3 linked regions of the Sus scrofa genome follow. The protein of the gene in region 1 purifies or fractionates together with the protein of each later gene. This does not show direct contact. Links are inferred from orthologs where the notes say so. Each region holds a gene or a part of one and is shown in the gene's direction. Other genes may lie near its edges.

Region 1 (7,180 bases):
CACAAAGCTATGCAGGTTTGTCTGGCTCATTTTAATATAGCTTATGATTTCTGATAATTTGTAGAGTAGACCACTTACCAAAGGCAGAGACCGAATCTTACCTCTGTTGTTATCCCCAGCCTAAGCATAGTACCATTTTAGGTCTCAGTCTGTGCTTCTGAATGAATAGGGGCACTCCCAAGGGATTCAAGTGCATATAATTAATTCAGTTAATAGAATAGCTTCAGAAACATTAAGGGTTTGCTAGAATTTTAAAATGATCCTAGGATCCATCATAGGAGTGGATTGTATTTCAGCTTAAGACTAAGGGCTTTGTAGTCAGACAGAAATGGTTTGAGTCTTGGCTTTGGTTTGTCCTAGCTGTGGGACCTTACATGAGTTTCTTGACTTGTCCATACATCTACTTTCTATTAAGGGTATGTACCCCATAGGGCTGTGCCTGGTTTAGTGCGCATAAAGTGTTCAGCACAGAGTCTGGATTGTGGTCAGCACTTAACTGGTGTTAGATGCTATAAGCTACTTTCATCATCCTCATCCTTTTCATGAGGCTTCTATTTCTTTCTACATGTCAGCATTTTGAGCATTAACACAATTCCTCTCCTTGGCCACTGTCTGTAATTCTGCTTGTTCTGGATTTAACACAGATAAGTACATCAGTGTCACCCTCTTTTCTGTGACCTATACCACAGCTCACAGCAATGCCAGATCCTTAACCCACTGAGCCAGGCCAGGGATCGAACTCACATCCTCATGGATCCTAGTTGGGTTTGTTAACCACTGAGCCACGAAGGGAACCCCGAATTTTTAATCATTTCTAATGGGTCAGAGTACTTTCTTAAAGGTTTACAAGGATTCCAGCTTGCATTTATGTTTTGTCCATTCACGAGTTCCAGAGGGAGATGACATCATTCTCATCATTATACTTATATTGCATTTACTCTTTGCCAGGAATTGTTCAAAGCACTTTATATTTGTCAACTCATATAATCCTTGCAAGAGCCCTGTAAGGAAAGTGCTATTATTATTGTTTTCATATTTCAGATGAGAAAATTGAGGCACAAAAAAGATAAGAAATTTCTTCAGGCCACACAGCAAATATGCAGCAGAGTTGGGATTTGAACTCAGGCAGTTTAGTTACATAGTCTTTGTCCTTTATCAATATACCAGTCCCCAAAATAGTTTTGTCAGCTCTCTTAGGAACTGTGGCTCTCTGTGACCTTTGAAACTTCTGCAGTCCATCCACCTGTTCCTAGGAGAGCTGGTTCCAGTTACTTGACTCTGAAACCAAGTAAATTTAAGGTAAAGCTGTGTCTCAAAATTTTCTTCTTTTAAAAAGACATTTTCAAATTTTAATAGTCTGTGAGTCAACTTTCTCAGCTGCCATGTATTTCTGAGTCAGTAACAAATCAATATATTTTTCTCATCTTTCCATATTTTAGGAGACCAGTGTTGCATTTAAATGTTCTCAAGCCAAACTAATGGCAACCAAACATTCTTCTCAGAAAGCAATAGGAACTTGCATAAAAAGTTTTGTGCAAAGATTCCGAGAGGCTGACACTTTCAGACAACTTTCTGAAGAAATCCAAACGGCAATTCTGTGGTGTAGGAGCAAAAAACTCAAGGCCCAGACTGCCTTTCTGGGTAATAAACTTCTTAAAAGTAACCGGCTTAAACATTTGGAAGCTCAAGGCTACAGGTAGGTATATTACAAAAGTATATTCCTTTACTTTTTCTGTTTTCATTTGGGGCAAAAGTATATATGTACGTATTCAAGTTAGCCTTCTTTAAAACGGGATGTCCAGTAGCCTGGGGGCTAAAATTGGAATAGACTCAAATTGCAATTTTGTTTGCTGCTTATGTTGGATAGAACTATCTGTAGTGGGAGAGAAAGCTAGTCTGCCTACAGCTTCAGTGCAATGAGGGTGGGAGAGCAGAAGGTGCTTCCTACAAAAGCACACAGAAGACTCTGGGGCCAGAAAATTTCCATTTATAGGAGCTCAACTCTCCATGTAATGATTTCTTCCTTTTCCTGTGACTCTTACATTCAAAGAACTGCTTAAAGATGGTTATCTTTGACTGTGAGCCAGTACTGCTTAAAACAGTACATGAAGTTAGATACCAGAGTTTTATGTTTTTATTGGAAAAAATAGATGCCCATGGTAACACTTTCAGACATAAAGATTCTTATTCCCCCTTCACAGAGGCAATCACTCTGACCAGTGTTTATGTATCCTTTAAGAAATATTCTGTGCATCCACCATAATTTCTTAGCTGTACACATTTATCTGTTCAGGACTTTATAATGGTTTCAATGGATGAGTCACAGTCTAAAACTTATTAAATTTTCTTAAAAAATTTATGGAAAACTCCCTCTTCACTTTTACTCCTTTTTTCCTTGTTCATTTCCTGCCATAATACACAGCGGTGTTAATCAAGAAATGAGGTTGATGCATCCTGGCAAATTTTCTGCCTGTGATACATCGTTTCCCCGGTTCACCTCCTATTATATTATGAACAGATGAGCAATTATTGAGGGAAAGCTTTGGCATTAAAATACACACAGAGATATTTCACCATTCAGCCCCCTTGCTAGTTGTAACAGCTACTTTGGAAACATAATGGGGACACATTTGCCTACAGTCCAAATCAGGGGGATGTTGTATTCTGAAAACAGGTTTGGATGGAAGCTCTAATTTCCTTATTTTTCCTTATGATTCTGGAGTTGTACACAGGCGTAGGACTTATAAATTGTCTTTTTTCAGTTGGAAGTTGATAAAAAGAAAACAAGTTTTGAGAATGTTTTCCTGTATCTTAACAATCTCCATTTTTTTTCCTCTCTTTATCCTTTAAAGTTTGCCAAAGAAACTAGAGTGCATAAAAACCTCTATTTGCAACTGCCTTCTTCATGGCTCAGGTATCAAAACTTCAAAGCATCGTCTGAGACAAAGAAGATCACAGAATAAATTTTCACTGAGACAAAGGAAACCACAGAGAAAGTTACAGTCAATTCTTTCAAAGGAAATCCAGCAGTCCCCTAAAGGGACCCAGAGTGCTACAGACATCTTTAAAGGAAGACTCTCACACCCTGCAGTTCATAGAACTGATCTCTACCCTAACAAGCAGCAACTCCTGAGTACAGGAGTTTCAAATCCTTTCATACAAACCAAGGAGGAACAAACTCATGAAAATCTTAGAGGAAGCAATGAAAATGAAAGGACAATGATGCAAACAAATAAACATAATACATTAGGAACCATTCAGACAGATGACATTGATGATATTTTTGCTTTAATGGGTGTTTAGATGCTTTTATATGACTCTTAAGTGATTAACCAGCTGATCCAGTGTTCTGCTGTTGTAAGTAGAATAGCTGAGGTCTGGAAAGATCTGGAAAGTACCATTTGGACTCAGAGGAGCTGTGTTGGTGCAACATTGTACAGCAGTTCATTTCAGTTCAATAAACATTTATCATAGCTTTGTGTTATTTAATATTTGACTATTAAATAGTCAAATTTTGACTTAAGACGTGAAGAATTAGGTTTAAAAAACCTACTCTGTGCCTTCAGTAAATGGGGAGTGGGGGTTGGGAATAGCAAGGACCCATCATTTTAAAGTTTCCTTTTCTTTATCTGGCCATTTCCTTGTCTGCTTTCTGTAGGTTTTCTCACTTACCTATTGTACCAGTGGTTCTCAAATTGTATGCTATTTTGAGAATCACTTGGGTTGTTTAAAAATGCAGATTGAGTCCTTTCCAAAGAGACTGATAAACATGGCTAGGGTACAGGGACAGAAGTCTGCATTTTTAATAAGGGGTCCAGGTGATTTTCATACAAAGTACCCCAAAATGCAGAGTTAGATAAGCTCTGGTTTAGCTTTCTTCTGCCCTGAATCCTTGCTAAATATCCTGATTTAATTGAGTTCTTAATCTCTAGTCACTTTTTGTTGTTTATATTTCTCCTGCTTTCCTACCAAGTGGTAGAACTACTTAGTGCCTTAAAACATGGAAAATAACCAAGGAAATTTCATTCATAAGTCTAGAAACAGTCATTAACTTTAAAGATTTAAGGTCCAGTCTTGCTTCTGCTTTTATTTGCACATAACTCCACTAAGCCAGCAAGTTTCCCTGGCTTAGGTTCCTTCATCTGAAGTAGCATTACTGTCCAATAATCATAAACTTTTACAGCGGGAATAGACTAGAGATTATCCCTCATGGAAAAAACAGTAGCTCAGTGAATTGTCTAAGGAGGTAAAACTGGATTGGACTATAAGCCTAGCATATTTTTCTGCTTCATCAGTTGTTCTTTTGAGAATATTTCTTCATTTTCTCACCTCCTGCTCCTTACAATTCTGGGAAAAAATAGTAAAGAGCTTCATATGCTAATGAAGTGACAATTTATAGGTAAGGAATATAGTATTCTATGTTATTTTTTCCAAACAAATTCAAGTGTTTTAAAAGTGAAATCTTATATATACAAACCCGTAACTTAGCCAGTAAATTAGACTAGAAACTACTGTTAGCATCGTCATAGTGAACACCGATTTAATGACTTCTGGTGGCATTAGAACAGTAAGGTCATTTATAAGTGCAGTGTGAGAGACCTCCCATGTATCACTTCAGATCCTCTTTGGTCTTCGTACTTCAGCCATTACTATGGCAACCAGTTTCAAGTTGGACTGGGCAATCCACCTTGCCTCTGTTCTGAAGGCTTCTCCCTGCCTCCTGGCTTCTGAGAAGCTATATGAACTGCTTGGTATTTGGGCATGTATAGTGTAGAAGAGGTGTGGGCCCACCCTCTAACCCCCCCTTCAAAGACAATTCAGAGGCACACTTCATAAGGCTCCCTCATGTCCCTCAAATTCAAGCCCTAGTGCCTACATGGTGTCCAACTCAATGCATCTTTGATTGTCTTTCCTCCCACATGTTTCATTTCTCCATCACTCCTGTTCCCTGAGATCACATCCTCAATAAACTACTACACATAAGCTTTTGTCTCGGGTCCTGCTTTTGGGGAATCAGAACCAAGGCTAAGAAAAGCAGTAAAGTAACACTGGCGGGTAGAAAGATGACTTTTAAGATAATTTTGTTGCTACTATGTATTTTATCTTGCAAATGCCTATATAAAAAAGATTTTTTTTTTTTAAGCTTAAAACACTGCTGGTTAGAAGAGACTAGCACTATCAACTATAAAACTGAAAATATATTCAGAATTGAATTTTCTAAAAAAGCCGCAAAGTTGTTTAACAGCCTTAATTTTTTATCCGATGGTATTGTTTTTTGCAAATCAGTTTTCTCACCTAAAGCTATTTTTCTTCTTTTCTGGCCTTTCATTAGATAAAATGTTACTTCCTCCATGACAGAATGTTTTCTGTGATAAATCTACCTGTGAATTTCGCTAGGTATTTGGGTTGGTTTCACTTTACAAATATGCAGAATATGCAAATGTCCTTTTCACATTTTAATCTTCATAGCCTCTGAAGTAAGAGGTAACAAAAGAAGTTCAGAGAATTCAATTTGTCCAACGTCCAACATATAATAAATATTACAACTGGAACTTGAACCTTCATCTTCTGATTCCAAACCCTGTGGTCACCTTAAGGTAACTGATCCCAGCCTCAAATGACTGGTGCTTCCACTGAAATTTTATCCCAAGAATAGTTTCTTTTACATTCAAATAAGGACGCTGAAAAAAGATAAATTATAGCCATACATATATGAGAATTTATCTTCAAACTACCAGTGCTCAATAGAAAAGTAGCCCCTTTTTTTTAACCTAGTCCATTGTAATATTTTAAAAAATATAAGTAATAGATATTTTCTTTAAAAGACAAAAACCCAATAAATAATATAGCAAACCGTTGTCTACACAGTAGGAAACAAACAGGTTTTCATTTTATGGACTTCTTCTATATGTTCTTGTCAGTTTGTTAAAACAGAAAAATCTTGTATCTATTCTAATGGACGGTATAATTCAATCATTTTTAAACCTTTCCCCCACCAGGCACAAATTCATTCTTGCTTTGGGAAGATGCAGGTTTTAAAGCTGAAGTGATCCTTCTGTAAGTTACAGAAACACAACATTTAAAACAATGTTGAAATTCTAGGTATTTAACTTCAGTTGAAATAGAGAATTTTGAATCTTCAGCTAAACTGGAAGCCACTAGTCTTAAGATTTCCTGTTATATCTGCTATAAAGCATCTCAATAGATGGATTCCAGAAAAGGTAACAGCACTGTGAAAAGAAAAGAAAAATCATTTTCTTCCTTACTTCAGAGGTGGGAACAGGTCTGAATTCATCTAACTTAAAATCTGTTCGCAAATTGTTGTGAGTTCCATGTGTAAAACAGAATGTCTTAGTTTGTTCTACCTTTCCTCTCTTTCCCTCAGGCTCTTACAGTATTCTATATCTGGTGATCCACATTATCTCATCTATTTCCTTCAGGATTCCAAAAATTTCACCATATCTATATACTTTTTATCTTCCAGATAAAAATTTTTTTATTGTGGTATATAACTGACATATAACATTATATTTGTTTTAGTAGCACAATATGATCAATACTTGTATATACTGTGAAATGATCACCACAATAAGTCTGGTTACATTTGCCACCACATGTAGTTAAAAACTTTTTTTTCTTGTGATGAAGACTTTTAAACTCTTTCTTAGCAGCTTTCAAATATATAATATAGTATTACTAACTATAGTCACCGTGTTGTCCAGTGAGTCCCTATGACTTACTTTATAACTGGAAGTTTGTACCTTTTGACCTCCTTAACTCATTTCTCTCACCCCAAAGCTCTACCTCTGGCAATCACCAATCTCTTCTCTTTATCTATTTGTTTTGTTGTTGTTTTTTAAATTCCACATATAAATGAGATCACACAATATCTGTCTTTCTCAGACTTATCTCACTTAGCATAATGTTCTCAAGGTCCATTAATGTTGCAAATGGCAAGATTTCCTTAATTTTAATGGCTTAGTAGTATTCCATTTGTGTATACACAGTGACCCTTCAAAAACATGGGTTTGAAATGGGTGGATGGCATCTTTTCAATGGTAAATACTACAGGATTATACTGGTATGTCAGGCCAACTATAAGTTATAATTGGATTTTCGACTGGGCCAAGGGTCAGAGCCCCCTCAAGTTGTTCAAGGATCTATTGTATAATAATACATC
Region 2 (8,067 bases), on another chromosome or scaffold:
CTATAGACTGGGGTCCATCTTTATGACCACATTTGAGCTTTATCACCTTTTCACAGGTTCTGTCCCCAAATAGTCACACTGAAGGTTAGGTTTTCCACATACGAATTTTGGGAGAACACAAATATTCAGTCCATAACATTTATGAAAGTATTATTACTTTTTTTTCTTTTTACGGCTGTACCTGCAGCACATGGAAATTCCCAGAGCTAGGGGTTGAAAAGGAGCTGCAGCTGCTGCTCGGGATGCGGTCCCAGCTGCATCTAGAGGGAACCTATGCTGCGGCTTGCGGCAACACCAGACCCTTAACCCACTGAGCAAGGCCAGGGATTGAACCCGCATCCTCATGGATACTAGTTGGGTTCTTAACCCACTGAGCCACAACAGGAACTCCCAAATATTCTTTCCTTTTTTTTTTTTTTTTTTTTTTGTCTGTTTAGGGCCACATGTGCAGCATATGGAAGTTCCCAGGCTAGGGGCTGAATCAGAGCTACAGCTGCTGGCTTATGCTACAGCCACAGCAATGTAGGATCCAAGCCATGTCTGTGCCTACACCATTTATGGAGAAATGGATAAATTATAACATATCCATATTATGTACTAGTTGGACAAATGTCCAAAATATATTCTTGAATATAAAAAGCAAGTTCAACAATATATGAATCACATTAAAAAAAAAAAAATACAAAAAGAGCTCCCTTGTGGCACATCTGGTTAAGGATCCAGCGTTGTCACCACAGTGGCTTGGGTTGCTGCTGCAGTGTGGGTTCGACCCCTGGGCCAGGAACTTCCACATGCTGTGGGCATGGCCAAAAAAAAAAAAAAAAAACCCAAAAAATTCTCAAATACATAATAATTTTCTACTCACTTATATACAGTCTGGAAGTGTAATCACAAAACTATACGTGATTAACCTTGTACAAGGTCTAAATACTTCTAATTTTTAAAAAAGATAATGGACAATCATCACATTTTTAAATCTGAAAAGTGCAAAAACTTTTTTTAATTGCTTGACTCCATGAAATCATAACTAGACTAGGTGTCTGAAACAGAAACACAGCAAATGTATTTATATAATATGCACTATGGCTCCCAGAGAGTTCATGCTCTGTGCAAAACTGCACTGAATAATCATGGTCTAGAAAGCTGAAAGAAATTATAAAGTCATTTCAATTTTTCTTGCAGGGGCCCAAAGAACATTAACCCCTTCTCCACTCCCCTGTAGCTCTTTCTCTCTCTCATTCTAACACCTCTAAATCCGCCTCAGGCACAGTCCTCTCCTCCCTTTTATCAGCCTTTCTCAGTTCCTTTACGGATGTTCTCCGCTACATCTTTTCTCCCCAACAAGTGGCAATCCGTAGTAACTTTCCAAGACTCGGTTTTTTTCTCTAGTAATTGGTCACACTCTGCATTTTAAAAGATGCTAGAACCAAGCTGGTAAAGACTTTTTTCAGTTGGGAGCAGGGAAAAGCGGAGAACAGCTTAGTCCATTCACAAATAAGCATTGATTTCTCCACATTTTGAATTTTGATTCTGTTAATTATTGGTTCATGCGTATCACAGTTTATCTTCCCAAGTAGCCTATGTTTGGAGAAAAGGCGGTAGGGGATTGCTGTCACTATTTTTATTCTTTACAGTACTTTAATTTTTTAAATTTGTGTAAAAACCATAATTGTGGGGATCTTCAGCACCCCTGCCCGAGGAGCTGCGGTTGGGGGAAGGGTGGTCCTCAGTTTGACAGCGTACTTTAAGATACTCATTTCCAGGCTCGCTTCCAGAGTCTAAGTTTGTGTATTTCTTAAACGTCAAATGCCTTCTTTTCAGGCCAGAACAACCTTAGTGATGTTAAAGATTAAGAACTGCACAACCTCAGACACTGGACCCCCGTGTAATCCCCCGAGCTTTTAGACAGGTGTTAGTATTAGACTTGGAGCTAGAGAACCCTGTTTCTGTAACCACTCCGTCTGGGCACCTTACTTCCTCGTGGCGCGTCTCCCTGTCCGCAAAATGGGGATAGTCACATCTGCCTCTTACCTGTTACGTGGGGACATACGGTGGATACACAACCCTTTTAAAACTTTCTCTTTGGAGAAATCACCCAGGCTTGGTTCCTGCCCTGCTCATATGAAAGAGACCGATTTAGAACCCCCTGTTGGCCTCCCAGTGACGTAATGTCGAAGAATTTTAAATTCGGAGATGTTTCCTCAGAAAGGACAGGGGGTTAAAAACAGAACCGATTAAGTCTGGCCAGCAGCTACATCTTTTCTCCCCAACAAGTGGCAATCCGTAGTCCACTGTCTCTGGCACCTTAAGCTTTAACTTTGGGGAAACAATGAACTCTGGGCTCAGGCCTTCAGGCGAGCCAAAAAACTGGAAGTGGTTATGCCTGTTTGCAGGCCTGCGAGGCATGAGGAGATGGCGAAAGGAGAAATGAGCTGCTCTCTGGTTCACTTACAACCAGCTCGCCCTTCGTACCTAACCCAGCTAAGAGTTGCTGCCGCCATTTTGCAGGGTGGGCTGCGCAGGCTCTTGGCGCAAGGCCCGCGCTCCTGAGCGGGAGAGGACGTGGAAGGTTTGGAGGGTGGGGGAACGCGCGCTACGAGGGGGAAGTACGCGTGCGCACAGGCGGTGGCGGCGAAGTGGGTGGGACCAGGGTACGAATGCGCGTGCTCGGTGGGAGCCCGCGAAGTACCTGGAGGAGGTGGGGGGCGAGGTAGCAAGGAGTGATGTTGAAGAGCGCTTGCGCAGGAGAGAGACTGTGCGGGGAGGGGGGCTTCCGAGCACGCGCGCGGAGGCGGGACTTGAAGAGCTCTCGCGAGATCGTCAGGGTGCTATATATGTGCGCAGGGAGCCCGCGTCCTTTCCCTGGTGTGATTCCGTCCTGCGCGGCTGTTCTCCGCAACACTAGTGGATTATCTCCGTCCGCCTTCTCTCCCACCCAAGTGCGTGCCACCAACCCATGGAAGATTCGATGGATATGGACATGAGCCCCCTGAGGCCTCAGAACTATCTTTTCGGTAAGTACTGGCGTGTTGGGCCAAGGCCGAGCGCGGCCTGGTGGCTTTGGAGTGGGTGGTGGAAATCACACTGAGGCCTGGGCAGGTGGAGAAAGCTAAGCAGGCTGGAGGCCTGCGGGAGTGGGAAGCGAGCTGCTGGGGTCCTGAAGCTTAAGGATGGGGACCTGGGAGGGCGAGCCGGCACCACGGAGTGACTGGGAAGTAAGGGCGGCCTGAAGCGTGAGCGGTCCGAGGCCCAGGGCCTGAGTTAATGTGGAACCCACCGGTTTAGGGTTGGGCGTTAGCTGGGGCACGTGGTAGAGCTCCGGGCATAATTTTTTCCTGGGGTTGCGTGAGTTGGTAGGCTTCTGATTCCAGACTAGTGCCTGATGCTGGACTCCAGGTTGGTGGTGCAAGAGATTGTGGGGGATCAGGGTGTGAGACGTGGGCTTCCTATCTGGACGGAGAGGACAAATGGAGCCTGGCGTTGTCCTACAGGCCTAAAGGGTCAGGAGGTCTAGGGCCCAGACTCGGCCCGGGTTCTTCGGCCGGTTACAGGGGGATGGGAGCCGCGGCCCGGCGTGGGGAGGCCGCTACCGCTGGGAGCACGTGGTTGCCACGTGGTTGGGGGAAGGAGGGGTGTGGGCGCTACATCCGGGGTTCACTGGTGTCTTGTCACTCCGAGCCTGGGGTCCTGGGGCTTAATTGAGGATGGTGGACGGGAAATTTTAGGTGAAGTGGTTCGTAGCGCCAGTACTCTTGAGGTCTTTGTTAAGTGGTTAACATCAGTGCTGGTAGTTCTAGAGTTCTTTTTCTATCTCTCCGCGCTCTTTGCAGATGACTTACTGATACTCGGAAAACTGAAGGTTGCACTTAATAGTTCCAACCCCACAACGCTTGCTTCCAGAGCTGGTGCTTTACAAATGATTTGGGAGGTGGGCAGCAGAGGCAGCCTTCTGTTAAACTTGTAGTTCTATTACCAAGGTTTTGTTGCTCACCTCAATCACACAGTGCCATCCTAGGAGACTTGGGTTGGTTTTTCAACTTCACTAAACTTAATTGTTAAAGCCATTTTTTTTCGGTTAGGTTTTGAAGAAGTGCAAATGCCTTCAAGTTCATTTTGTTATATATCGTGCTGAGATATGTTAATTGAGCAGGAACATTTATACATCTCTTGCAGTAAATAAGTAGATGGCAATTAAATGGTATTATTTAAATTAAAATTTAGTTCTGACTATTAAAATCAGTTTGCCTATTCATGAGTGGTAATGGTAACATGCGCTATACATTAAGGGTTTTATTCTTAGCCGGTTTGAAAAGCTGGAGTTTCTGATCAGTTTATATCAAAAACGTTTGTGTTTACCCTCGGAAATATCCCTGGGATATTTCTAGTTTTGCCTTAGATATAATTTCTGAACAGAGTTTATATATATCACTTGTTAGTTCAGAGATGGATTGTGGACCCGTGTAACAACCTTTAGTTCTCCTACTTTGTAGTCTTTCTGTGTTGTAAATACAAGCTGTCGATGTATGTGTTTGTGTAACCACTGTCATTTCTAAATTGGCACTCCTCCTGGGAGTTGGGGTAGGTAATTCAACTTTTTAAAATAGTGGGGTTTTTATCAACATATGTTAGGTTTGGTTTAAGTTCCAGCTTTTACTAAATCTTTGATACTGTTTCCACCTAAGAAGAGTGTAGTTGAGCATAAAATAGTATGATGGAAAGGAGGAATTTATAAAACTATGAAAGTTATTTGCTCTATATGGATGTTATTTGATGTTTATAGACTTGTGTGTTCAAGAAGGCCTGTAAGAGGTACTTCTGCCTTGCTTTTTGGTAGCTAGAATAGAATAGTAAAATCAAGTAACTTTTGGTTACCCACAGTGACGTTTCATTCAGTGTTATTTTTCTCCTTGTTATAGTAGGGTTGTTTCCTCATTTACAGGTTGTGAACTAAAGGCCGATAAAGATTACCACTTTAAGGTGGATAATGATGAAAATGAGCACCAGTTATCTTTAAGAACGGTACGTAAAACTTTTCAAGACAAAGTACTCTCGATTTCAGACACCGCTTAATTTGTGTGGCTTAACATTAGAAAAGTATTTCTATAGTTGTTGTATATGCTTGGTTTTCCACGTGTGTTATAGAAAACCTGCCGTCTTTACCACTCATTTGATATTTTGAACAGTCCAATCACACTGTTCAGCTTTCCTTATTTTCACTGTTACTGTTTCTCTATTTGCTTTTTAGGGCCGCCCCTATGGCATATGAAAGTTCCTAGGCTAAGGGTCAAATTGGAGCTGCAGCTGCCGGCCTACACTGCAGCAACACAGGATCCGAGCTGCCTGTGCAAATCTGCACTGAAGCTCCTGGCAACATGGGGTCCTTAACCCACTAAGGGAGGCTGGGGATCAAACCCGCATCCTGATGGATACACATTGGGTTGGTAATCCAATGAGCCACAATGGGAACTCCCCAGCTTTCCTTATTGTGTCATCTACTTTTCTTGAGTTGTATTAAAAACTCTTTAGGGTAGTGACAAATATACATCTTGTTCCCCAGAGACTAGGCTATAGCCTACTACTTAAATTGTAGGTGGCCGGTAAATGTTAGGCGATTCATACTGTGAGTTAACAGTGGTGATGGCATAAGTATGTGTCATCAAATGCATTTTAGTGTATTTGTTCAAAGTTACTGAGTATGAGACTAGGGTCACATAAAACTTGAAGACAACTTTGAGCTCGTCAGTTTTCCATCAGTGGTAATAATGGAAGATGAATAATTATTCTGTATTTTAAAAAACTCATGGGGGGGCATTGTAAAATAGTGACAGTTTGAAGTACTGTTTTTCTATTCACAGGTCAGTTTAGGGGCTGGCGCAAAGGATGAGTTGCACATTGTAGAAGCAGAGGCAATGAATTATGAAGGCAGTCCAATCAAAGTAACACTGGCAACTTTGAAAATGTCTGTACAGCCGACGGTAAGGGCACTTTTATGCTTGGGATTTTATGTCCTTCTAATTCTTAACATTAAGATGGGTATCATTTAGGTTACACTAAGGAGATTGGGGAATGAGCTTTGGTTTTTCTTATAGTCAGAACTGTGTTGTCATTGGGGTTGACTGATCAACTCTTGGAACAAGGTGGTAGCTGCTTGCTTATCAGAGGTGGAAAAAAGATTCATTGGTTTGTTCATTTGGCCAGATGGGTTTGCTTCTTCAGTAACATTTTTAAGTATGAACAGGTTTTATATCAAACATATAATCTTAATTTTCTTCACACTATTTAGTGATGGATAAATTTCTCCTTTTTAGGTTTCCCTTGGGGGCTTTGAAATAACACCACCTGTGGTCTTACGGTTGAAGTGTGGTTCAGGGCCTGTGCATATTAGTGGACAGCACTTAGTAGGTATGTTATTTTTGTGTTATGTTGTTTTATTTTTCAGCAGCTACTTTGTTGCCAATTTGGAATAGGGTGTCTTTAGTTATAGTACTACTTACTGTCTGAGTTCAAGTGGGAATCTAGTCATTTGTAGCATGTAAAACCCAGTAATGAGTGTTAGCACTCAAAATACCTTTTTTTAAAAAACTTGTACCTTTTTTACTGTTTTTCTATAGAATCTCACTTTCAAAATACTCAGTATCCCTTTTTCTGAGTTCCTGCTGTTGGTTGAGTTTTCGTGGTAGCTAATAACGAATTTTATTGCAGCTGTAGAGGAAGATGCAGAGTCAGAAGATGAGGAGGAGGAAGATGTGAAACTTCTGAGTATATCTGGAAAGCGTTCTGCCCCCGGAGGTGGTAGCAAGGTTCCACAGGTATAGATGTGATTTATTGCACATTGAACTTCTTGTGGCCTTTTGTTTGGTAGTTTGGATTAATTATAATTAGTACTTGCTTAGGATTGTGTCCGTTTATTTTTTTAAGAAAAAGGTAAAACTTGCTGCTGATGAAGATGAAGATGATGATGAAGATGATGACGACGATGACGAAGAGTAAGTAGTATGCCCTTAGAAACCTGACATAGTTGCATGGGGAGTTATAAAAATTATTGAGAAAAATCATCCTGTGGGATTCGTGACAGTTACAAAAGGTAAATGGTCAGTGGTTGTCAGTTTGGGTTAAATGAACTGAGGTAAAGGCTGGAGTATGCAGCATTTCCCAAATGCATTTGACTAGGTGACTTTTTAGTCTGTGATCACATTCTTACATGCTAACAAGTCAGGTGTTGATGATGAATAGTTTGTAATAAATGGATTGAGGAGAAAGAAAATCTGAGTAACGCCAGCTACATCGATTTTGTAGGTTGTCATGTGAAGTATTTTCATCACAAAGGATCTTGGCATGTGATTGTCTGGCCCTCATGAGAAAATACGATTCTATGGAGTTCCCGTCGTGGCGCAGTGGTTAACGAATCCGACTAGGAACCATGAGGTTGCGGGTTCGGTCCTTGCCCTTGCTCAGGCGTTGCCGTGAGCTGTGGTGTAGGTTGCAGACTCGGCTCGGATCCTGCGTTGCTGTGGCTCTGGCGTAGGCCGGTGGCTATGGCTCCGATTCGACCCCTAGCCTGGGAAACCTCCACATGCCGCAAGGGCGGCCCAAGAAATAGCAAAAAGACAAAAAAAAAAAAAAAAAAGGAAAATACGATTCTAAAAGAGAGTAGGATTTTCCTGGAGAATTTTAAGATTTAATTGTAAATAAGATTTGATATTTTTATTAGGCCAGGCTATGGTAAATAAAGTGCTATCCATTTTATGGAATAAAATGGTATTCTTTTCCTATATGCTGTGATATGAAAACTTCAATATATTGAATTTTTAATTGCCTGTCAACTTTGTAATTGATAATTAATTACCTGTGTGTCAAACTTAAACTCAGTGTAATGAGTGTTTGTTATTACTTTGCTTGAAAGACATTTCCTGTCTTTCAAATGAGGATGATTCCTGCTGTAACTACAGCATAAATAGTTTGTTTCTCCCTGCCATGTCAAGTTATCCTTGAGGTAGATTGGGAGGGAGGAATGAAAAGTGTAGATGGTGTCCAAGTCCAAAACAGTAAGCTCAAGAAAAGTTCAGG
Region 3 (8,090 bases), on another chromosome or scaffold:
GTGTCCTTGACCATGAGTGGAAGAGCTGTTTTTTCACTATTCTTAGGCCCTAGTATAAAGTTCAAAGGGGGTTCAGAACTAGGGGACAGGGGAGGAGGAGATAAATACTAGCAGGAATATTTCCTTAACTATGATTCCATTCCTCTCTGTCAGCCTTAGGACTGCAGTTAGATTACCCATCCCAGAGCCTGCAAGTGCCCCTTTAGAAATTTGCTCCTTGTGGCTCTGGGGTTAAACATCACCTTTTCTAGGCCCTCTGGGGAGTGGTGAGGCAGGAAATAGAAAGTGGGCTTTATCCAATGCCTTTCTCTGCCACTCCTTGGCCCCACAGGACCAGTGTGTGGAGATCACTGAGGAGTCCAAGGCTCTCCTGGAGGAATACAACAAGACTGTATCCTTTCTGCTGTCCAGAGTCCTATCCCCTTTTCTATTTCTGGCTCTGGCTCTCCCATCCCATCCCAACCAGCCTCTCTACTCCCCTGCTCCTCCACCCTTCCGACAGGTACAAAAATCTCTCCACTCCCTCTTTCAGACTCCTGTTCTCACCTTGACCTTCAATCAGACAATGCTTCTCTCCAAGCAGTTTGTGCAGTGGGATGAACTACTTTGCCAGCTAGAGGCTGCCAAGCAAGTGAAGCCAGCCGAGGAATGATGGCTGCTGCCCACCCCAGGTGGATCAGGACAACCAGGCTTCAAGCCCTGGGACAACCTGCCCTTGTAACAGGCAGAGCAGAGGCAGCTCTCTATTTATTGGATTCACACCCTACCTAGACAGGCTTAGGTGGGGCTCTTGCTACTTGAGATTTGCTATTTGCGCCCCTCCCCTCATCAGTGTCCTAGTCCAGTGACAATAAACTGTGGAGATCATTGAAGGAGTGTGCCAGCTTCCTGATCCAGGATGGGGGTGGTGGTGGGGATAAGGGTGGTGGAGGCCAGAGAGTGGCATCAGCCTTCCTAGTAGTTTGGACCAAGAGCTATACTCATTAGTCTGGCTTTCTGGGAAATGTAGAGCTCTCATGACAAATGCTCTCATTTGCTTGATGTGAGTGGACATTCGTTTATGTGTCCATTTATCCCACATTTACCAAGTACACGCTAAATGTCAGATGCCAGAGTTACTCTTGTGGCGCCTAAGAAGTGAATCCGACTAGACCCTAAAAAGACAAAAAGACCAAAAAAATAAAAAGAGAGAGACATTGTTTGGAGTTCCCGTCGTGGTGCAGTGGTTAACAAATCTGACTAGGAACCATGAGGTTGTGGTTCGATCCCTGGCCTCGCTCAGTGGGTTAAGGATCTGGTGTTGCCATGAGCTGTGGTGTAGTTTGCCGATGCAGCTCGGATCTGGAATTGCTGTGGCTGTGGCTGTGGCCAGCAGCTACAGCTCTGATTAGACCCCTAGCCTGGGAACCTCCATATGCCAAAGGTGCAGCCCTAAAAAGACCAAAAAAAAAAAAAAAAAAAAAAAAAAGAAAAAGAAAAAGAGAGAGAGAGAATCCAACTAGTAACCAGGAGGTGGCAGGTTTGATCCTTGGCCTCGCTCAGTGGGTTAAGGATCTGGCACTGCCAAGAGCTGTGGTGTAGGTCGAAGATGTGGTTCAGATCTTGCGTTGCTGTGGCTGTGGACCAGAAGCTGTAGCTTGGATTGGACCCCTAGCCTGGGAATCTCCATATGCCACGCGTAGCCCTAAAAAGAAAAAAAAAAAAAAAAAAAAAAAAAATTAAAAAGGTCAGATGCCAACCAGGTGGGAAGGACACAGATAGGGTCCACCTGATCCCTACCCTTTACAGCCTAGCTAGGGAGACAGTCAAGGAAAAGGGAAGGGGACCAGGTGGCACCAGGGTTCTTTGTGGCACAGAAGAAAAAGGAAAGTGGGGGACATCCCTGGAGGGTGATACACAGGGTCTTTGAGAGCCGAGGTTGCAGCATGTGCAAAGGCAGAGGGGAGCTTTTAAGTTTTTTTCTGGGGAGCCTACTTGGTGCTATACCGAGAAGGGGAGCCTAAAAGAGGTTTGGAGACGGGGATTTTAGTTGGGTGCGGGGGTGGTTGGAAAGGAGAAGGGGCAGGTTGGAGCCGAGAAACAGTGGCACTTCACTCCACCAAGTGTTTGCTGCCCCCTTGTGGTCTCAGGGACTGCTGTGCCTCCAGGCCCCTTTCATCCGCCGCCGGCCTTCCACCCCACCCGCGCGGTCTCGTTGGCATTTCGAATTGAGCTCGTCTGATACTGGGAGTCATCCTAGACTCTTCCCTCTTTCTCCGTCGGAACAGTCGCCAAACCTACTTCCTGTTATCTTCCAAATGAATCTACTTCTCCCCATTACTCTGCCATTTCTCTAGTTCATTCTTTCAACAAATAATTTAACAAATATTTGAGCCCTATCATACGCTGGTCCATGTGGACACGCCCCCGGGAGTCACCAGCGGATGCGGCCGGTCCCCGCTCCCTTCTGCGCTGCGGCCAGAGTGAGCTGTGCCAAAAAGATCTGGTTTGACCTGCGCCTGATGAAACCTCCCCGTGATACGCCAGTGTCCACAAGATGAGGTCTAGACTCAGAACTCTGTGACCAAAGTTCTTGTCCCCGCAGCAGCAGCCCCCCTCTTGCTCCCGTCCGAAGTGAAACCCGCTGCTCTGCCTTTGTTACTGCACTGTGTTCAACAGAGGTCAAATCCTTCACTTCCTTCCGACGGGAGACGACTCCTAATACCCTCATGCCACCGGCCCTCGCGTCGCGGCTGGGCTCATACCCACAAGCTGCCGTCGCGGCCGCTCTCAGTTTGTGGGCAGAGTCGCCTCTGGTCCTGTCTCCTGAGGCCCCGCCCCGTCCGGCGTGCGCGGCCCCGCGGCCTCGGCGCGCCCCCGTCCCGCGCCATTTTGGACTAGGAGCGAAGTGGTAGAGTGCGTGGCTGCTGTGGTGAGAGCTAGAACCCAGCGGGGTGAGGGCGCCCGGAGTCGGGGGCAGGAGAGGGGAGGCCGGCTGCTGGGCCGCTGCGCCCGCCTGGACACTGGGAGCAGCCCGGGGCGGTGGCGGCCGCGGACCGGCCGCCAGGAGTAGCCCGAGCAGCCCTCCACGCTATCCCCGACTTACTGAGTGACCTGGGTTAGGGGAATCGACCCAGGGGATCTTTGGGCGAGGGATGCTCGGCCCTGTCCTGGAGGTCCTGGAGTTGGGGAGGGGGTCACTTCTGCCTTTGAGGAGCTTTTGGAAGAGGGGTCTGCCTTGGGGAGCTTGGGGTGTAGAGGCTTGGCCCTGCCCTCCGGGAGCACGAAGTGAGGGAACCTTGTCCTCGTCCCTCCTTGGAGAGTCCAGGGAGAGGAGCACAAAGTCTTGTTCTCAAGCAGCCTGGGCCGAGGGCCCCAGCCCTGTCCCAAGGCGCCCCAGATGAAGGAAGTTCGTTACCAGTGCTGGGCAGCTTGGGATGAGGGGGCTCGGCCAGTGGGGAATCTGGTCCTGTCTCTGGGACTGCGGGGGTCGGGGGAGGGTTATGGCTCTGTCCGGAGGAAGGGGATACAGCCCCCTGTCAGGGGGAGGCAGGCATCCCTGCTCTGGGGGTGAGGGGATGTGGTCCTGTTCCTGGGAAGTCTGGGTTGAGGAGCACAGCCATGTCCTAGGGAGCCAGGGATGGGGGGTGGGGTGGGGGATGGCCTGGGGCACCTTGCCTAGCATTCCTCTGACACCTCCCTGCAGCGGGCAGCAAGATTGAGACCCAGCAGCAAGCGAGATGGAGCACTACCGGAAAGCTGGCTCTGTGGAACTACCAGCACCTTCCCCAATGCCCCAGCTGCCTCCTGATACCCTGGAGATGCGAGTCCGAGATGGCAGCAAGATCCGCAACCTGCTGGGACTGGCGCTGGGGCGGTTGGAGGGTGGCAGCGCCCGGCATGTGGTCTTCTCAGGTTCTGGCCGGGCTGCCGGCAAGGCTGTCAGCTGTGCCGAGATCGTCAAACGGCGGGTACCAGGCCTGCACCAGCTCACCAAGCTGCGCTTCCTGCAAACAGAGGACAGCTGGGTGCCAACCTCACCTGACACTGGCCTAGATCCCCTCACAGTCCGCCGTCATGTGCCTGCGGTGTGGGTACTGCTCAGCCGGGACCCCTTGGACCCCAATGAGTGTGGCTATCAGCCCCCAGGGGCACCCCCTGGCCTGGGCCCCATGCCCAGCTCCAGCTGTGGCCCCCGACCCCGAAGAAGGGCACGAGACACCCGGTTCTGAGGACCTGCCAAGCAAGCTGTTCTCCAGGCCTGAATGTCTAGGATGGCTGTGCCTTCTTTGAGAAGCCCTGTAACTGCTCAACATCCCCATCTAGACTTGAGGTTACAGAAGTGGACCTCCCTGTCCTACTTCAACTTCCCTCTGGCTGGTGGAAAGGGACTGTGATGAAGAGTGACAGGTGTGGGGTCTCTGCTGAGTTCTGGATTGCTTAAGAGGAGCTTATTCTGCCTTCCACCTACAGTGACTCTGATCTACCTTCTGACAGAGGTCTGAGGAGTGGGTTAGGAAATAAAAGTTCTGCCCATTTGATAAGCCTCTGCTCGGCCTGCTGTGTGGAGGTGGGATTAGGGGAAGAGGAGTCCTTGCCCTTGACCCCCAGGAGCTCACAGGTGGGAGACAGGAAGGGTAGGCTCAGGTTGGTGCTGGAAGGATCTAGGGTTGATTAAAAAGCCTCAAGTGGTAACCTGTCTGTGTCTAAACCACTGGGTGGCTGACTGCTGCCTGTTTGAGGCTGGTTTAAAGACTCTCTACCAGGACAGACATTTTTCCTCATCTGTAGCATGTTGATATACTTCATTCTATTGCACGTCCCAAATACTGTGTTTTCTACAAAGTAAGTAAGGGTTTGTAGCAAGCCTGCATTGAGCAAGTCTGTTGGCGACATTTTTCCAACAGCATCTGCTCACTTTGAGTTTCTGTCACATTTTGGTAATTCTCACATTGCAAACTTTTTCATTGTTATGTTTGTTATAGTGATCTATGATAAGTGATCTTTAATGTTACTGTTATAACTCATTGAAGGCTGAGGTGATGGTTCAACTTTTTCTAGTAATAAAATGTTTTTATTTTTATTTCTTTGCTCTTTTTTAGGGCTGCACCTGTAGCACATTGAGGTTCCCAGGCTAGGGGTCGATTCAGAGCTGCAGCTGCCGGTCTACACCACAGCCACAACAATTCGAGATCCAAGCCTTGTCTTTGACCTACACCAGAGCTCACGGCAACTCTGGATCCTTAACTCACTGAGCGCGGCCAGGGATCAAACCCACATCCTTATGGATACTAGTCAGGTTAATTACCGCCAAGCCACAATGGGAACTCCTAAAGTATTTTTAAATTAAGGTATGTACATTGGTTTTTTAAACAATACTATTGCACTCTTAATAGACTATAGTATAGTGTAAACAACTTTTGTGTGCACTGGGAAACCAAAAAGTTCTTGTGACTCGCTTTATTGAGATCTTCATTTAATTGAGATGGTCTGGAACTAAACCCAAAATATCTCTCTCAGGTATGCCTGCATTATAGTGTAGTGTTTAAGATCGTAGACTTGAGCACCAGACTACCTGGATTTGAATCCTGGTTTTGCCACTTGCTAGCAAGTTACTGTTTTGTGACTTTGGGCTCTGTGCTTTAGTATTCTAAAACAGGGTATAGTGCTTACCTCATAAGATTGTTATGAGGGAACCTGTTGTGGCTCAGGTGATATCTAAGAATCATATGTGTATATTTTCCACATTTAATCCTAACAGTCTTTTTTTTTTTAATTTGACTAGCATCTATGAGGACGCAGGTTCAATCCCTGGCCTCGCTCAGTGGGGTAAGGATCCAGCGTTGCTGTGAGCTGTGGTGTAGGTTGCAGAGGTGGCTCAGATCTGGAGTGGCTATGGCTGTGGCATAGACCAGTGTCTGTAGTTCTATTCAACCTGTAGCCTGGGAACTTCCCATGTGCCGCAGGTGCAGCCCAAATAAAAAAAGACAGAAAAAAGATTGTTAGGAGTTCCCATCGTGATGCAGTGGTTAACGAATCCCACTAGGAACCATGATGTTCCGGCCTTGCTCAGTGGGTTAAGGATCCGGCGTTGCCATGAGCTGTGGTATAGGTTACTGACTCAGCTCGGATCCTGCATTGCTGTGGCTCTGGTGTAGGCCAGTGGCTACAGCTCCGATTAGAACCCTAGCCTGGGAACCTCCATATGTCGTGCGAGTGGCCCTAGAAAAGGCAAAAAGACCAAAAAAAAAAAGATTGTTAGGATTAAATGTGGAAAATATACACATATGATTCTTAGATATCACTTGGGCCTATATACACTAAGCCCTCTGTATCTGTGGGTGTGGAACCTATGGACACAGAGAGCTGACTGCCCTACGCCATTTTATATAAGGGATTTGAGCATCTGTGGATTTTGGTAAAAAAAAAAAATCCATGAGAGAGTTCCCGCTGTGGAGGGGAGAGGTGCACATTGCAGTGGTAGCCAGGGGCTCCAGGAACCAGAGCAGGATTATGGGTAGGCAGGAAGGAGTGAGTGAATTGGGTCTCCCACTGAGTTTTATGGTTATCTTCATTGTGTCCAGTAGCCTGGGTGTCCAGTTCCAGGAATGCAACACGGACCCTTGTGGCGGGTGGGCACAGCAACCTGAGAGTGTGGAAGAGATGCTTGGCTGAGTCCAGGCAGATATTGGGAGAGATGGAGATGGGGGACTGGAGGCCTCAAGGTGGGCCTAGAGCAGGGAGGAGGGGACCACAGGGTCAGCACGCTGTTGTCAAAACTTTGAATACTGCATCCTTTGCTTTCCAAGGTAAGTTACCCAGAGTGGAGGGGCAGGTAATGGAGACTCAAGGGATATTATTAGGATAGACAGGAAACCCTCTCAGCAGCTGCCCAGCCAGGCCTCTCAGCTGCAGAAGGTCATGAAGCATCTAACACACTTCTAGAGGCTGCCCTCCTCCCCTTGCTTTTTCTCTGAGCATTTTTTTTTTTTTTTGGTCTTTTTTAGGGCTGCACCTGCAGCATATGGAAGTTCCCAGGCTAGGGGTGGAATTAGCTGCTGGCCTATGCCATAGAAACAGCAATATGGGATCTGAGCTGCTGTGGCCAGGGTGGGATGATCATGTAGAATAAGTGTGGTGACATGTGCTGGGGGAATGATCCAGAGTGCTAGGATGGGCTCCCAGTTGGGCACCCACCGGGGATATCTTTTCTTCACATTTTCTCCCTAATCCACTGTAGAACAGCTTCTTTTGTTATTGTTATTATTATTATTATTTTATGGTGGCGTTTGGCAGTTCTTGATCCAGGGAATGAATCTGAGCCGCAGCTATGCTGGATCCTTTAACCCACTGCACCCTGCCAGGATCAAAGCCACTCCTCTGCAGCAACCCACTACAGTCGGATTCTTAACTCAATGTACCATGGTGGGAAGCAAGTGTTAATGTTTGGGCGCAAAAGGTAAGAAAGTGGAGACAGCTTTTTTAAGAAATCATATTGTGATGGGAGGAAAGAGGTAATTGTGGGATACAGAGAGAATTTTCCTGTTTATTTAAAAAGAATATGCAGAGACGTGAGCATGTTTAGGCTAGTGGAGGGAGGGAAAGGGATTAAGATGCAGGAGATTGTGGATAACTCAGTGAGACTCCTGGAGGGGGGATAAAAGCGAATGGGTCTTGGAGCCTGGAGGTAGGGGCCTCCCAAAGGGTAGAGAAGGGATGACTTTATGTAACAGGAGGCCAGGTGATGAGGATGGCTGTGCATGCAGATGGGTGAGGAGGTCAGGGTGAGACATGAGGGAGTTCAGAGTTCAGAAGCAGGAGTCCAGCTCTGCTGCTGAGAGTGGAGCGAGGAAGCCAATGGGAAGGAATGCGAGAGTTGTAATTGAGAAAGATACCTAGGGAGGTACAGGAGGATGACCAGCAGGGCTAAAAGCCCCTACTGAAGCTGGTGGCCATGAACCTGTAATAGCATCAGTCAGGACTTGAGGGGGCACTGTTGCATTCTTCTAGACTGAGCTTAAGACAGGCAGGAATGATGGGAGCAGAGTGAGGAGACTAGCAGGGGAGTGCATGTGGTGAAGGACCAAGGAATCCAAACTGGTAGAGAGTAA

Evidence for each region. The genes of interacting proteins can lie anywhere in the genome.
Region 2: the proteins of NEPRO (region 1) and NPM1 purify together in Homo sapiens (affinity purification with mass spectrometry; 4 studies listed by BioGRID and IntAct, counting the BioPlex papers as one, with this or other methods). This does not show direct contact. The link is inferred for Sus scrofa from reciprocal best matches to the Homo sapiens genes RMP64 and NPM1.
Region 3: the proteins of NEPRO (region 1) and RPP25L purify together in Homo sapiens (affinity purification with mass spectrometry; 3 studies listed by BioGRID and IntAct, with this or other methods). This does not show direct contact. The link is inferred for Sus scrofa from reciprocal best matches to the Homo sapiens genes RMP64 and RPP25L.

The regions. Positions count from the first base shown.
Region 1 is NC_010455.5:146,909,773-146,916,952, forward strand, and holds the end of NEPRO (nucleolus and neural progenitor protein), read left to right. Parts: coding exon 1-15; exon of another isoform or gene 16-979; coding exon of another isoform or gene 980-1,001; exon of another isoform or gene 1,002-1,197; coding exon 1,198-1,299; exon of another isoform or gene 1,300-1,439; coding exon 1,440-1,696; exon of another isoform or gene 1,697-2,852; coding exon 2,853-3,303; 3' UTR 3,304-4,983; downstream 4,984-7,180. UniProt on the Homo sapiens protein: May play a role in cortex development as part of the Notch signaling pathway. Downstream of Notch may repress the expression of proneural genes and inhibit neuronal differentiation thereby maintaining neural progenitors.
Region 2 is NC_010458.4:52,776,535-52,784,601, reverse strand, and holds the start of NPM1 (nucleophosmin), read left to right. Parts: upstream 1-2,739; 5' UTR 2,740-2,956; coding exon 2,957-3,014; intron 3,015-4,939; coding exon 4,940-5,019; intron 5,020-5,855; coding exon 5,856-5,975; intron 5,976-6,308; coding exon 6,309-6,402; intron 6,403-6,702; coding exon 6,703-6,809; intron 6,810-6,918; coding exon 6,919-6,986; intron 6,987-8,067. UniProt on the Homo sapiens protein: Involved in diverse cellular processes such as ribosome biogenesis, centrosome duplication, protein chaperoning, histone assembly, cell proliferation, and regulation of tumor suppressors p53/TP53 and ARF.
Region 3 is NC_010452.4:32,186,368-32,194,457, forward strand, and holds RPP25L (ribonuclease P protein subunit p25-like protein), read left to right. Parts: upstream 1-2,814; 5' UTR 2,815-2,911; exon of another isoform or gene 2,912-2,933; intron 2,934-3,685; 5' UTR 3,686-3,719; coding exon 3,720-4,211; 3' UTR 4,212-5,062; downstream 5,063-8,090. Other genes in the region: DCTN3 (dynactin subunit 3), read left to right, coding at 332-652. UniProt on the Homo sapiens protein: May be a component of ribonuclease P or MRP.